Tribolium castaneum: one gene and its partners. The protein of the gene in region 2 interacts with the protein of the main gene of each other region in a pairwise test. Links are inferred from orthologs where the notes say so. Each region holds a gene or a part of one and is shown on either strand. Other genes may lie near its edges.

The links.
Region 1: the proteins of putative RNA-binding protein Luc7-like 2 (region 2) and Gadd45 interact in a two-hybrid assay, tested with the Homo sapiens proteins (2 studies listed by BioGRID and IntAct). The link is inferred for Tribolium castaneum from reciprocal best matches to the Homo sapiens genes LUC7L2 and GADD45G.
Region 3: the proteins of putative RNA-binding protein Luc7-like 2 (region 2) and U2 small nuclear ribonucleoprotein auxiliary factor 35 kDa subunit-related protein 2 interact in binary tests that used the Homo sapiens proteins (3 or more experiments, as listed by UniProt). The link is inferred for Tribolium castaneum from reciprocal best matches to the Homo sapiens genes LUC7L2 and ZRSR2.

What each region holds. Positions count from the first base shown.
Region 1 is NC_087396.1:14,217,563-14,220,446, forward strand, and holds Gadd45 (uncharacterized protein Gadd45), read right to left. Parts: upstream 1,650-2,884; 5' UTR 1,463-1,649; coding exon 1,413-1,462; intron 1,325-1,412; coding exon 1,105-1,324; intron 1,048-1,104; coding exon 856-1,047; 3' UTR 569-855; downstream 1-568. UniProt on the Homo sapiens protein: Involved in the regulation of growth and apoptosis. Mediates activation of stress-responsive MTK1/MEKK4 MAPKKK.
Region 2 is NC_087399.1:9,864,682-9,869,136, reverse strand, and holds part of putative RNA-binding protein Luc7-like 2, read right to left. Parts: intron 3,047-4,455; coding exon 2,615-3,046; intron 186-2,614; coding exon 1-185. UniProt on the Homo sapiens protein: May bind to RNA via its Arg/Ser-rich domain.
Region 3 is NC_087398.1:7,930,393-7,934,562, forward strand, and holds U2 small nuclear ribonucleoprotein auxiliary factor 35 kDa subunit-related protein 2, read left to right. Parts: upstream 1-1,333; 5' UTR 1,334-1,567; coding exon 1,568-1,575; intron 1,576-1,672; coding exon 1,673-1,764; intron 1,765-1,820; coding exon 1,821-2,639; intron 2,640-2,691; coding exon 2,692-2,812; intron 2,813-3,460; coding exon 3,461-3,695; 3' UTR 3,696-3,732; downstream 3,733-4,170. Other genes in the region: MKRN2 opposite strand protein, read left to right, coding at 342-475, 553-630, 683-1,115. UniProt on the Homo sapiens protein: Pre-mRNA-binding protein required for splicing of both U2- and U12-type introns. Selectively interacts with the 3'-splice site of U2- and U12-type pre-mRNAs and promotes different steps in U2 and U12 intron splicing.

The DNA of each region.
Region 1 (2,884 bases), on a different chromosome or scaffold from region 2:
ATAAAGACTAGCAAACATATGTAAATTTACAATATGTAATATAATGTAAATTTTAAGTCGGTTTATACATAATTAACAACTTCAGGTTAACTTCTCTAATAACCGCTAATAATTATTTAAATTTTAGCTGGAAAAAGATTTCTAACGAACGAAATAATTTGTGATACTACAATAAAGGTTCGAAGAAAAATACTAAATTGCTTGTTTATTTCACTTAAAATAAAAATACTTTCTTCGGGCCAGCGAATACAAGTTCATATTTATTTACCAACTTGACCATAAAAAAGTTTGTTTACATGTTTGTGTAATAAAGCTTTAAATGTTGGGATTTTACGTCCAAAATGATCTTTAAAAGTTACTTAACTCTATTATGCAAGATTACATAATACTTGGATTAATTAGTACATTATGAACTAGATAGTTCCGATGGAAATTGAAGGTTTCACTCTTTTAGTCAATTTAGTTCAAGTCGTAACACCTATTATTTTCTCAGAGTTTTTATGACCAACGTTGCTCTCCATCAAATTACATATTTAGTCAATGAGGCCAATGAATAAAAAACATCAAATATCGTAAATCATTTATTCGAACAAACTGTTTTAAAATACATCAGTATTTTCAATTCATCAATAAGTACAATAGGTGTATCACGAAATCCCTTCATCGTGATACACGGTTCCCAGAACAATATTAATTACAAATACAAACTTATCAACAAATTATTAACAATACAATAATTCTCATATGACTGCTAAATCATAGCACACACCGGGACCGTGTCACCGGTATAACTTGGGTATAATTTCATTTTAACCTTTGGTCACAATTAAGACCACTTGTTCATTTTTTGCTCAATCATCCGGGGAGTTCCAAGACAGGTCTTGGGAATTCCTCAATGGTGCACTCGTAAAAGTCTGTCAACTCTTGCTCTGAGGGTGAAAGCGGGGGGTCCTGTTGTGCCTCCATGTCTTTGGTTATAACAGCGCAAGGACATCCAACTCGTGACCCCAATCCGCAATATTGTGCTAGTTTTTCACTACTATCGACCTGCAACAAGCAACACAAATTAGCACTTGGACTGGTTACAACCTCAAGGGTATTTACCTGAATGACAGGGATATAGTTTTCGAAGCAGAAGGCCTGAAGTAGGACAGTCTGCATGTGAGTGGTGGCGTCCCCAGGTCTGGTTTGAGGAAGGACGCAAAGGAGGACATCCTCCAACGAGTTCTCCAGACAGGAGATGGCCGGGAGCAGGCCACAGATCAAGCGGCCCTCCGTCTTGGCCTGAGTCAGGACGCCCTGAAGGGCCCTCCCCAGTTTATTTCTGCAAGAAAAAGCAAACTTGGGTTGTAGCTCCATGGCACGCTTTCACTCAACAGTTCAACAAGCAATTGAATGTTAGTAGTTAGTACCTGTTGATCATTTTGCATTTATCCACGTTTTTCAATTTGAGGATACACATGGTTGTTGAATTTCTTGGGGGTTTCACTACCGAATTCACTTTAGGGCACTGGGCACTCCGTAATCCTGAATGGCACAATGTGACGACACCGTTTTCAAAACGTTGTGTAATAGCTAACTTTTGGCTTTCACATGTAACGAACTTCACCAGTTTTTGCCGTGTAATGACGCAAAATGCGCCGGTTTTCCTTTTATATCAGCGCCAGAGCTGCGCAAAGAGGGGGATAAAAGGAACTCGAGATGTGAGTTTCGAGGAATCCCCAGCTCGAATATTTGATTACTCATTCTGAAAGTACGCTAGATTTTTTCAATTACGAAAGATAAGTGGATATTCCGCCGGAATTGCAGGGAATTCACCGATTCTGATCCGGTGAAATGAGAGCATCCTGAAGGCAAGGCCGAACAGACTTTGGCCAGGTGTTCAAAGGTGATTTTGGCCATTCATGGAAAGAACGGTCAATGTGTTTCGTTAGAATTCAAATTCAAAGACATCGTCCGTTTGCCCCGACAAGTCGGCACACGTTTTTTGAACATATTGCATTAATGCAGGACGTAACAAGTCTCAACCTGATAATACCTCGTACGAGTTTTATCAAAATTTGTTTACGCAGTAAACCGTTAAGGATTATTTGTTTTGATTCGATGAAAAGCACTAGCACATTGTTAGATAAGGACTAATCGTTACTATGAAATGTTTTTTAATCTCGTGTGTAATGTTTGTGAATTGCGTTTTTCTTATAAGGCAAAAAAGTTTGTTTTTGAATTTTCAGCCGAATTTTTTTATCAACACCCAACCTGTTTGTCTGGCATTTTGACGTATTTTGCTTCATAATAAATGCCGTAACAGGAATCAACTTGTACCTCGTAATAGGATTTCGGATTCTGCAAACTTTGATCAATATTTCCGGTTATGAGGGATTAAGGTCATTTAGTTCTAAGTTTTAAACTTTGACAGGATTCCGGGAGTTACAGGTGGGTGAATTTGGTCAAGGCCGTATTATATTGCAGTCATTGATTAAATAACCGCTTTTAGAGTAGTGATAAGACCTTGATCGATCAATGTGTAGAATTTGGAAATGTATTTTGTAACCATATGAGTTGTAATGTAACATTTTTCCCAAAACAATAAAACTGTGGGTAATTCTAGAAATAACAAGCTACTGTTTGTTCCGATTAAACACGTTTGGCATTTTGTGCAAAACAACATTAACAACGCGGAAAGTTCGCTGTTTGCGCTCTTATTGACTGTCAAAATTCCCCAAACATTCTCTTCGGAACGAAATGGAACGTGCGTAAAAGCACTGCATGTGTGGTGAAACGCGGATTCATTACATAATTCATAGTAACTTTACGATTTGCGTCATTGAAAAACTGGGTGAATTAAAAAATCGTGGATGCATGCATGCATTGATTATCTTTTCAT
Region 2 (4,455 bases):
CTGTCATTCTTTTCCCTTTCTTTGCGGTCCCAGGATCTGGAACGGTGTCTTTTGGAGCGTCTGTCCAGTTCGCGCCCCCCGACATACTGCTCGCGGTGTCTCTCCCTGTATCTATCTTCCCGATCGTCCCGGTCTCTGTCACGGGAGGACTTGCGCTTTTCCTCCTTCCGTTTCTCGGCGTTTTTCTACAATATATAAAAGTATAAAATATTTTGAAATTACTTAAAACTCCTTAAAGTGGTTGATATTGACTACGTTAAAGATGGCATTAAAATATTTATTTTTAATTCGTTGCGACGTTTCTAGTCTCCAAATGGTTAATTTTAATCTAATGTGAAGAAAGAATAATGAAAAAATGTCGATTTATTATTGAGTTTGGAGTGAATTTACTTTCTAAATTTAATTTATACTTAAAGCAGGTCAATTAATACTGAAAAATTTAAATTTTTTTTGAGTTTTGGCCAATTAGATGAGCTTTATGCACGATTTATTTAGTTAAGAAACTCAAAAACGTGTTTAGAAGCTTGAGAAAAAAAAAACCTTTTTCTGGTCGACATTTTGACATTTTTCAGCCTATCTTGACGAAATTTCGCTTAAAAACAAAAGAAATTGCCTGAAACAGGCAAAATATTTTAATCTTATTATGATCACTTTATGTGATTTATTGTGATTTCTGGGAGCATTTAATAGAATAAATAAGTTTCAGGTTCAAGACTTGAAAATGACTGAAATAAAATAAGATTAACATTAATTCGATCAAATTTGATGTTTTTACAGCCACTTATGCCCATTTTTTTTTAAATAAAGCACTAAAGTGTAAAAAGCCAAAAGTTGGTGATTTTTTGGTTTTCTTTAGCGACATCTCTAAACCTAATATTTTTAACTCAAAAACGGAACATGATTTCAGACCGAATGTTACGGTTTTTCGGCTTATTTTGAAGTAATTTTGCTCCAAAATGAGCTAAATCGAGAGACACTAACATCAATTTCCATTTATTTTGTAATTTTTTGTTGTGTTTTAACGAGTTCTTTTGTAAAGTCGATCTAAAAAAGACAATTAACATCAATTTCGATCTAATTAGATATTTTTTTCCCCAATTTTACCTAAAATTTTCGAAAAGAACTTTTTTTGCTTCAACAAAACTCGAAGAAAACTAAAATAACACCCACTTTAGTATAACTGGGAAACTTTTCGATTTGTTCTTAGTTTCTATTCTAAATAAGAATATCCTGCTAAATAATGCTAAAAAAAGACAAAAACAAGATAATTTTGAATTTAAATTCATCGAAATCTTCAGAAAAAATGATACCTTAGCTCTAAAAAGTGCTTGAATTCTTGGGAAACGCAGAAATAGCAGTACTATTTAACTAAAATTTATTGTTCTTGAACAATAGATAGATCTCTCGACGAAAGCTGGTAAAAATAACCTAATAATCAAAATTTTTCTTAAAAAAACACCGTTTTTATCTCAAAAACCTGTTTAAAAATTCGAAAACCTCGAATTAACAATGGGGTCTAACTTGTTGAAATTTTGTTTGCTGTTTTATTTGAAAATGTTAAGAAATAATTCCTTAAAACTATATCAAAACATATGGAAAAGGAAAATGAATGTTATTTGACTAAAAATGATTTTTCAATCGATTTCTTGCAAGAAACTGAAGATATATCTTGCAAACACGTGTTTCCAAAAATACACAAATAACATATTTTTGACCACAAAAAATTTCATACAAAACAGAGCTTAATCCAGTTAACATAGCTTAAGAATGATCTTGCAAAATAAAGTCCAAATGCATTAAATCGAGAGAAATAATCTAAATAAATTAATTGTTTTGGTGATTTTACGGCTAACTTTAACGAAGTTTTGCAATTTCTGTCTGGAGAATGTGCTAAAACACTCAAAAAACAAGAATTGTGTAGTGCTATACTTAATTTGGTGCTTTTTCGGTCTCCTCTAGTGAAATCGTGCAAAAAACTAAGTTTAACAACCTTCTGACCAAAGTTTGTTTGAAAATGTTTCTAAAATTATTGACGTGTTCAAAATCAAACAAAATAAACGAAATTTAATCAATTCGACCTAATTTTGTAATTTTCCAGTTACGGGGCTTGAGAGGGGAGGGGAGGATAACATAATTTTTACTAATAACTTTTTTCTTCTTTTATTTTTGATGTAATCTCGCACAAAAATAAACCAGAGCGATTCAAATACCACCAATTTAGAATATATTTTTATTAATTTTAGACGTTCTCTGACCTAACCTTGTAAAATAAATGAGTATCTGATTCAAAAATGCATTAAATCCAGTGGAACATCAACTTCAATCTAATTTGGTGAATGAAATATGCAAACTAATTTATTTTTTGCGGGGAATTTAAAAATTGCATGTATATATTTATATTATATATAAATATTATGTATTTATCGAAGAGGCCGTGAAAAATTGTTTCATTTGTCATGTTTTTTAATCAACCATCTCCAACCAAAAATCGTCAATCATTTCAAAGGATAAATAACGAAATGTCTCTGATGATTTTTGAATATGACAGGGTTTGGTTGCGTCATTTTCAATTTAGGTGACTGTACAAGCTGTACATAAAACACAATATCCTTACCTCAAGTTCGGCCAACTTTTCCCGAATCTTAATAAACCCAAGATGTAATTTCCCGCCGAAATGATCAGCGAGACGTCGATCGTTATCATGTATGCCGAGATAAGCGGAACAAACTTCGCAAACTCGTAATTTCTGTTGTTGGTAGCTGCTTGCCGGCATTGAATTGCGATACTCTTGCTCGGCTTCCAATTTACGCTTTCTCAATTCGTCCACTTCCTCCATGAGTTTCATGCTTTCGTCGACAAAACCCTCTTCGCCGAGTTGCTCGGCTTTGGCGAGCTTTTGACCGATTTGTTCCGCCAATTCGTGCACGCTGTTCGCTTTAACGGCCACTTCAGCCGATAGTTCTTCTTGGGTTTCGGCGAGGCGTTGCTTGGCGGCCTCGGTGCGACGGTCGCAATCGGTGATAAAAGCTTGCAGATGTTCCATTGCCTTCAGGAATTTTTTATCACTGGTTTTATATTTTATTGGGTATTGGGTGATATTCATAAAAATTTGTAATTATCAGTTTTTTTAATACTTATAAACATACTTACAAATATTAGTATTTAATAGTTAAAAGTATCACTTCAACCTAAAAGTGAACACTTGAATCCAAATGTCAAAAGGAGATGCTTATCCTTATGACGACCATACAAAGTGAGACTACTAATGAAGTACTATATTTTTACTATACGTATCTCAGAAATAAATAATTGCACAGAATTTAGGTTGACTATTAAATAATTTTTTATTTAATTTAATTTTAATTCAGCGATTCCAGGAATAATGCAACCTGACACCGTAATTTTCAAAATAAATTTAATAATGCAAAGTTTCTTTCAAAATATACGATTCAGTTTGTATTTGATGTATTTTACAACAAAAAAGTTTTTTTGTTGTTGTGGATTTAAAACATGAGACGATAATTATTTAAAGTGAATTCCAACATTTACATACATTGCCTTGTAGGCAATAATATAAAATACTGTTGACAGCTGACGTACTATAATTGGTAAATAATTTCTGAAGTGTTTTTTAGTTTCTGGTAGTGTCCCATCCATCATGTATAAACAAAAAGTAAATTAATCGTAAATCAATGCACACTGCATTATTCCTCGGTTTCGAGAATAATTGTAGGAATTAGTGCATTTTAAATTAACATAATATTTAACAATAAAATGTAAAGTCTTCTTTATGTCCTATTCGCTATCAATTTGTGTTTTTCGTGTTCGTATTTAAAATTTTACAACTGTAGGGTGCAAATAGTTGGACTGGTACTAAGTTCCTTTTCTACTGATAATATTTATAAAAACCGTTAAAATGAATCACAAAGATGGGTAGAAAATTTCGTAGATTCAAAAGTTTTGCAATATTTCATTTTTTGGATGTTGAATTAAATATCAAAAATAAAATAACTACTTAGAAAGATGGTACTAGAAGTTTAAGAATGATCATTTTTACTCGAGAATAAGATTTCAACAATTTTTTTTTCTTTTAAAGCAATTTTAAACAATACAAAAATATTCTGAAAAAAATGCATGAATGATGGATGTATCAATTAAAACCAAAAATGATTACTAGTACAGTGTATCTCCTCCTCTGGCATCAATAAAAATTTAAAATCGCCACCGCATACCATTAACAAGGACAGATATTCGTGCTTGGGCAGAATTTTTTTTTGAGTTCTTAGGACTCTGTAAAGCATATTACAAGCATAGCAATGGTGGTAAAAAAACGCTTGTTAATCAAACATGAACACATGCTAATATTCGTAAACACCAAGTTTAGGGCTTCTTTTACCCAAAAATGCCAAGAGAATGGTAAAAATTTTATTAAGTCTTAGCACCATGGAAGGGACA
Region 3 (4,170 bases), on a different chromosome or scaffold from region 2:
AGAAGGGCTATATCTTTCCTCCAGTGTGTTCAAAATTGGTAAAAAGTTTACAAATTTCGAAAACAACTAGTGTAAAAATATTTAATTTTACTGCTACATCACCTAAATCGATTTTTTAATTAATTTTGAAGTTTATCTTTCATTTTTTTTCTGTATTATTTTTTTGTGACGAAAATTCAAAAATTACAACACAAAAACCAAGCTCGGAAAATAAAATCGTTTGAAATGAAGCGTGGTTTCATTGTATTCCCCGGTGTGTTAATTTTCGACACAAATAGATATTACCAATGTGTTAGGTAACGATTTCATAGCTCATTACATTGTTGCAGAGGTGATTCGCAATGAAAGTAATGGATCCGGGTATTGTGTGTTTCCAGCACTGTGGTCCAAAAATTTTCTGTTTCTTGTTGCCGGAAACGTGCCCAGTATGCGGAGCCGATCTTTCGCAAACAAACTTTTCTCTCTTGCCCTTCAGGTACGTGCTTTTATTTTTTTGAATAAATCCAGGTTATCCGTTGATTATTAACTGTTAATTTATTAATTTATTTGCAGAGTTCCGTACCCGTTCATTCGAGCATCACAGTATCCTTGTTCTGTAATTATAAAACCAACATCCGGTGATTTTTTAAAGTAATTGCTCGTTTTATACAATTATAATTTATTACGACCCATTCCTTTCTAGTGATTATTACAATTCGATGGATTTGCACATCGGCGTTACGACCTCGACGGGGACCATCGTAGAATTCGACAAAAACGGCCTTAGGAGGCACCGGAGCGAGCAGTGGAACCAGTGCTTGCTCCTGGACCAAGTCCCAAGTTCCTGGACGGAACATTGGGACAACACTTTGTTCCAAGTTTGTAAACAGAAATGCTGGTCGTCCAAAGCCTACAGTGAAAATAGACATAATTGCTACACGTTTGTGCTCACATTTTTAATGAATTTGAATTATGGAAATTTGAGCAAAGCGGCGAGCAATAAGACGGCTTTTTGTGAAAAATTTATTGTGCCGCGAACAACTTCCGCGGGGAAGTACATTTCGCTTTATAGAAAACTAAAAGAGAGTGACTTTTACGTGCATAGAACGCCACATGGGGCGAAGGGTGCTAAATAATTGTAAAAGCATTATTTACGTTAGTATATTATTTAATACGGATACAATTTTCCTAGTTTGTTGTATTTTGTTATAATATAATAATAAATTATAAACATCACTTCCTTGTAGTTTTATTCTAATTTTAGATAATTAGTCGGGGGGTTTTACGGTATTTAATTTTCAGTGATACCAACACAGATTTTTTCTTCGGTATTAAGCCCAATTCAGGCTGAAGCACAATCGGTAATTCGCCTTTGACATTGACAGCTGTGGCTGACAGTTTTTAAGGTTATAGTTTACGTCTAGTGTGTTTATTTGTGGAATAAATTGGTTTAAAATAATTAATAAAGCAACTTTGGGGTGTCTGTGCGGTTTCTTGTCATATTTTCTTAATATTCCACCGGATTAGGTGTCGACTGATTCCCCTTTAATCTTTTTTGAAGACATTTTCAGGCATTCAGCTAGAATTAATGGGGAAGTAGGTATCCTTTTTAAAAATAATTATGCTGTAACAATACATTGTGGACTAACGTCTCTTACAAATAAGCGTTATGTTTTCTTAATGATTTACATAGACATGAGAAATGGAGAAAGGTCGCTAAAAGAGCTAGAAGGAAACGCATTAGACAGTCTCTAGCAAAAATCAGACATGAAAAAGAGGAGGAAGGTTTGTGTCTCGACTGTTTAATCAACAGCCCAACAATTATTCTTTTCATAATACAGAACAAAGAAGACGAGAACAATCGCCAACATACCTCCAACTCCTCCAAAAATATGAAGAAGAGGAGGCGTTTCAGGAGGAAGAAGAGGCCCGGTTGAGGGCCGAAGCGGAGCAGCGCTGGTTGAAGATCGAAGAAGAGGCCCAGAGACAGTGGCGGGAGTTGCAGAAGAAGCTTGAGGAAGCGCGTGAAGAAAGAATCCGCCAAAACCTTCTTATTAAACTCGAATGGGAAAAGGAACAAAAACGTCTCAAAGAACTAAAAGAAGCCAAGGAGCGCGAACGCGAAGAAAACGAAAAAAGGCAACAACAACTTCGAGACGAGATCGAAAACTTTATCGCCAATGGGGGCGACACCCCTGAGCACCTCAAAGTCAGCGTTGAAATGAATCCAAACAAACCAGTTTGTCCATTTTTCCAAAAAACCTCGGCTTGTCGCTTCAGAGACTCGTGCTCTCGCAACCACATCAAGCCGGGAGTTAGTCGGATTTTGCTCATTCCGAATTTCTATTCACACTATAGTTTAGAACAGACCGAAAATGAATATGATGATTCGTCGCTAGAGTTTGAAAATCACGAGACGTATTCGCACTTTAAGGACTTCTTTTTCGACGTTTTGCCCGAAATGGAACGCTTTGGGCGAATTCGGCAATTTAAAGTTTGTTGTAATCGCGAATCGCATTTACGGGGAAATGTTTATGTGGAGTATAGCACGACTCGAGAGGCTGTTAAAAGCTTTCAAGTCTTTAACGGACGCTGGTATGGGGGCAGACAGCTAAGCGTCGAGTTTTGCAATATTGAGTCTTGGAAGTCGGCGATTTGTGGTGAGTTATCTGTGAGATTATTATTTTCTTTCGCTTAGGGAAAGGTTTTCAGGTTTGCATAGTCGCAAAAAGTGTCCCAAAGGCAGTTCTTGCAATTTTCTCCACGTGTTTCCTAATCCACAAAACATGTTTCATTTGGCTGACAGAGATGAGCATAGGACACCGTCTAGGAGGTAGTAAAATAATATTTAAGGTAGAACTACACTGAGCAAATTTGAAACTCAATTATTAAGAAAAATAACGAACAAATTGTTTTTTACAATTGGATGTTGTTCCTAGGTTAAATCATTACATCACAGACCAGTTGTTATCTCTTTTATCTCGTTTTAAATATTTTTATCAAAATTTTAACGAATTAAAAAATACAGTACGTATTATAAATAAGTCATTAAGGTATTATTAATTATTCGGGAATGCAGTCATGTTTATTTTTTGGTACGTGATATATTGTCTACGTTTCGCCACCTTCTTGGGGCTTCTTCAGGACAATAAATAGTAATTTATTGTCAGATCTATCGATTATATGTGTAGCCTTAAATTGCCTTCGAAAAATATTTAAAAAAATATCCTGCAGGGTTCCGCAGTAATCTGAATTCTTCTGAATATAATTAATCTACGGTAGTAATTATTCTAAAAATATTCAGTTGTAAAAAATTATTTTGTACATATATTACGTTTCTTAAAAATTCAATTCAAATTTTGCGATCAGGCGCTTGTTTGAACGTGGTTTGAACAGGTCCTCTTCAGACACTCTCAGGATAGTTCAACCTTGATTATCCTAAACAGTTTCAGAGATTTATTAAAAAGTACTTCATTTACAGTATTAGCAGATCAGAGACAGAAGAAAGAAATTGGAGGTGGTCCGAATCGCCGGAAAGATTAGAGTACACAACTAGTGAAAAAAGACGTGAAGAAAAACACACGAGAAATGGCTGTAGTTCTAAAAGACGATCTCAGGAAACTTCACATAGTAGAAGTTCTAAAAGTAGAAAAAGGAGCAGAAGTAGAAATAGACGAGAAAATAAGAGTAACAGAAAAAAGTCCAAACACCATTGACTGTAACAAGTTGTTTAGAATAAACGTTTAACATCTACTTTTTATTGGTTTTTATTATTTGCAATGAATACAGTTATTCATCACTTTTGGACCAGCTGTATGCAATATTGGCAAACTTGAAAATTGGTCAACAAAAATATAATAGTGGGAAACCTGGGTGAATAAATACTGATTATTCCCGCAAGTATTTTTTCTCGGATGCGATTAATGAGAGGAAGCGGTGCCAAAAACGATCAATGGGCCCTCCAAAAATCGGTTTTCGCAAAACCTGACCTACGTGAGGCAAATCCTGCGGCTCTATTAATAGGAAAACTATTTACAAAAATAGACTTGTGTCTATTTTGCGACAATCCGGCAAAATTCATTCGACGGTTTTTTGCCGCGCAGAAGTGGAAGAGGATGAGTCACTTCCAAGAACGGTTGTACGTAAATTTGAATGACCGCGGTTTAGTCTCAATTTTTCTAAACGCCCGTT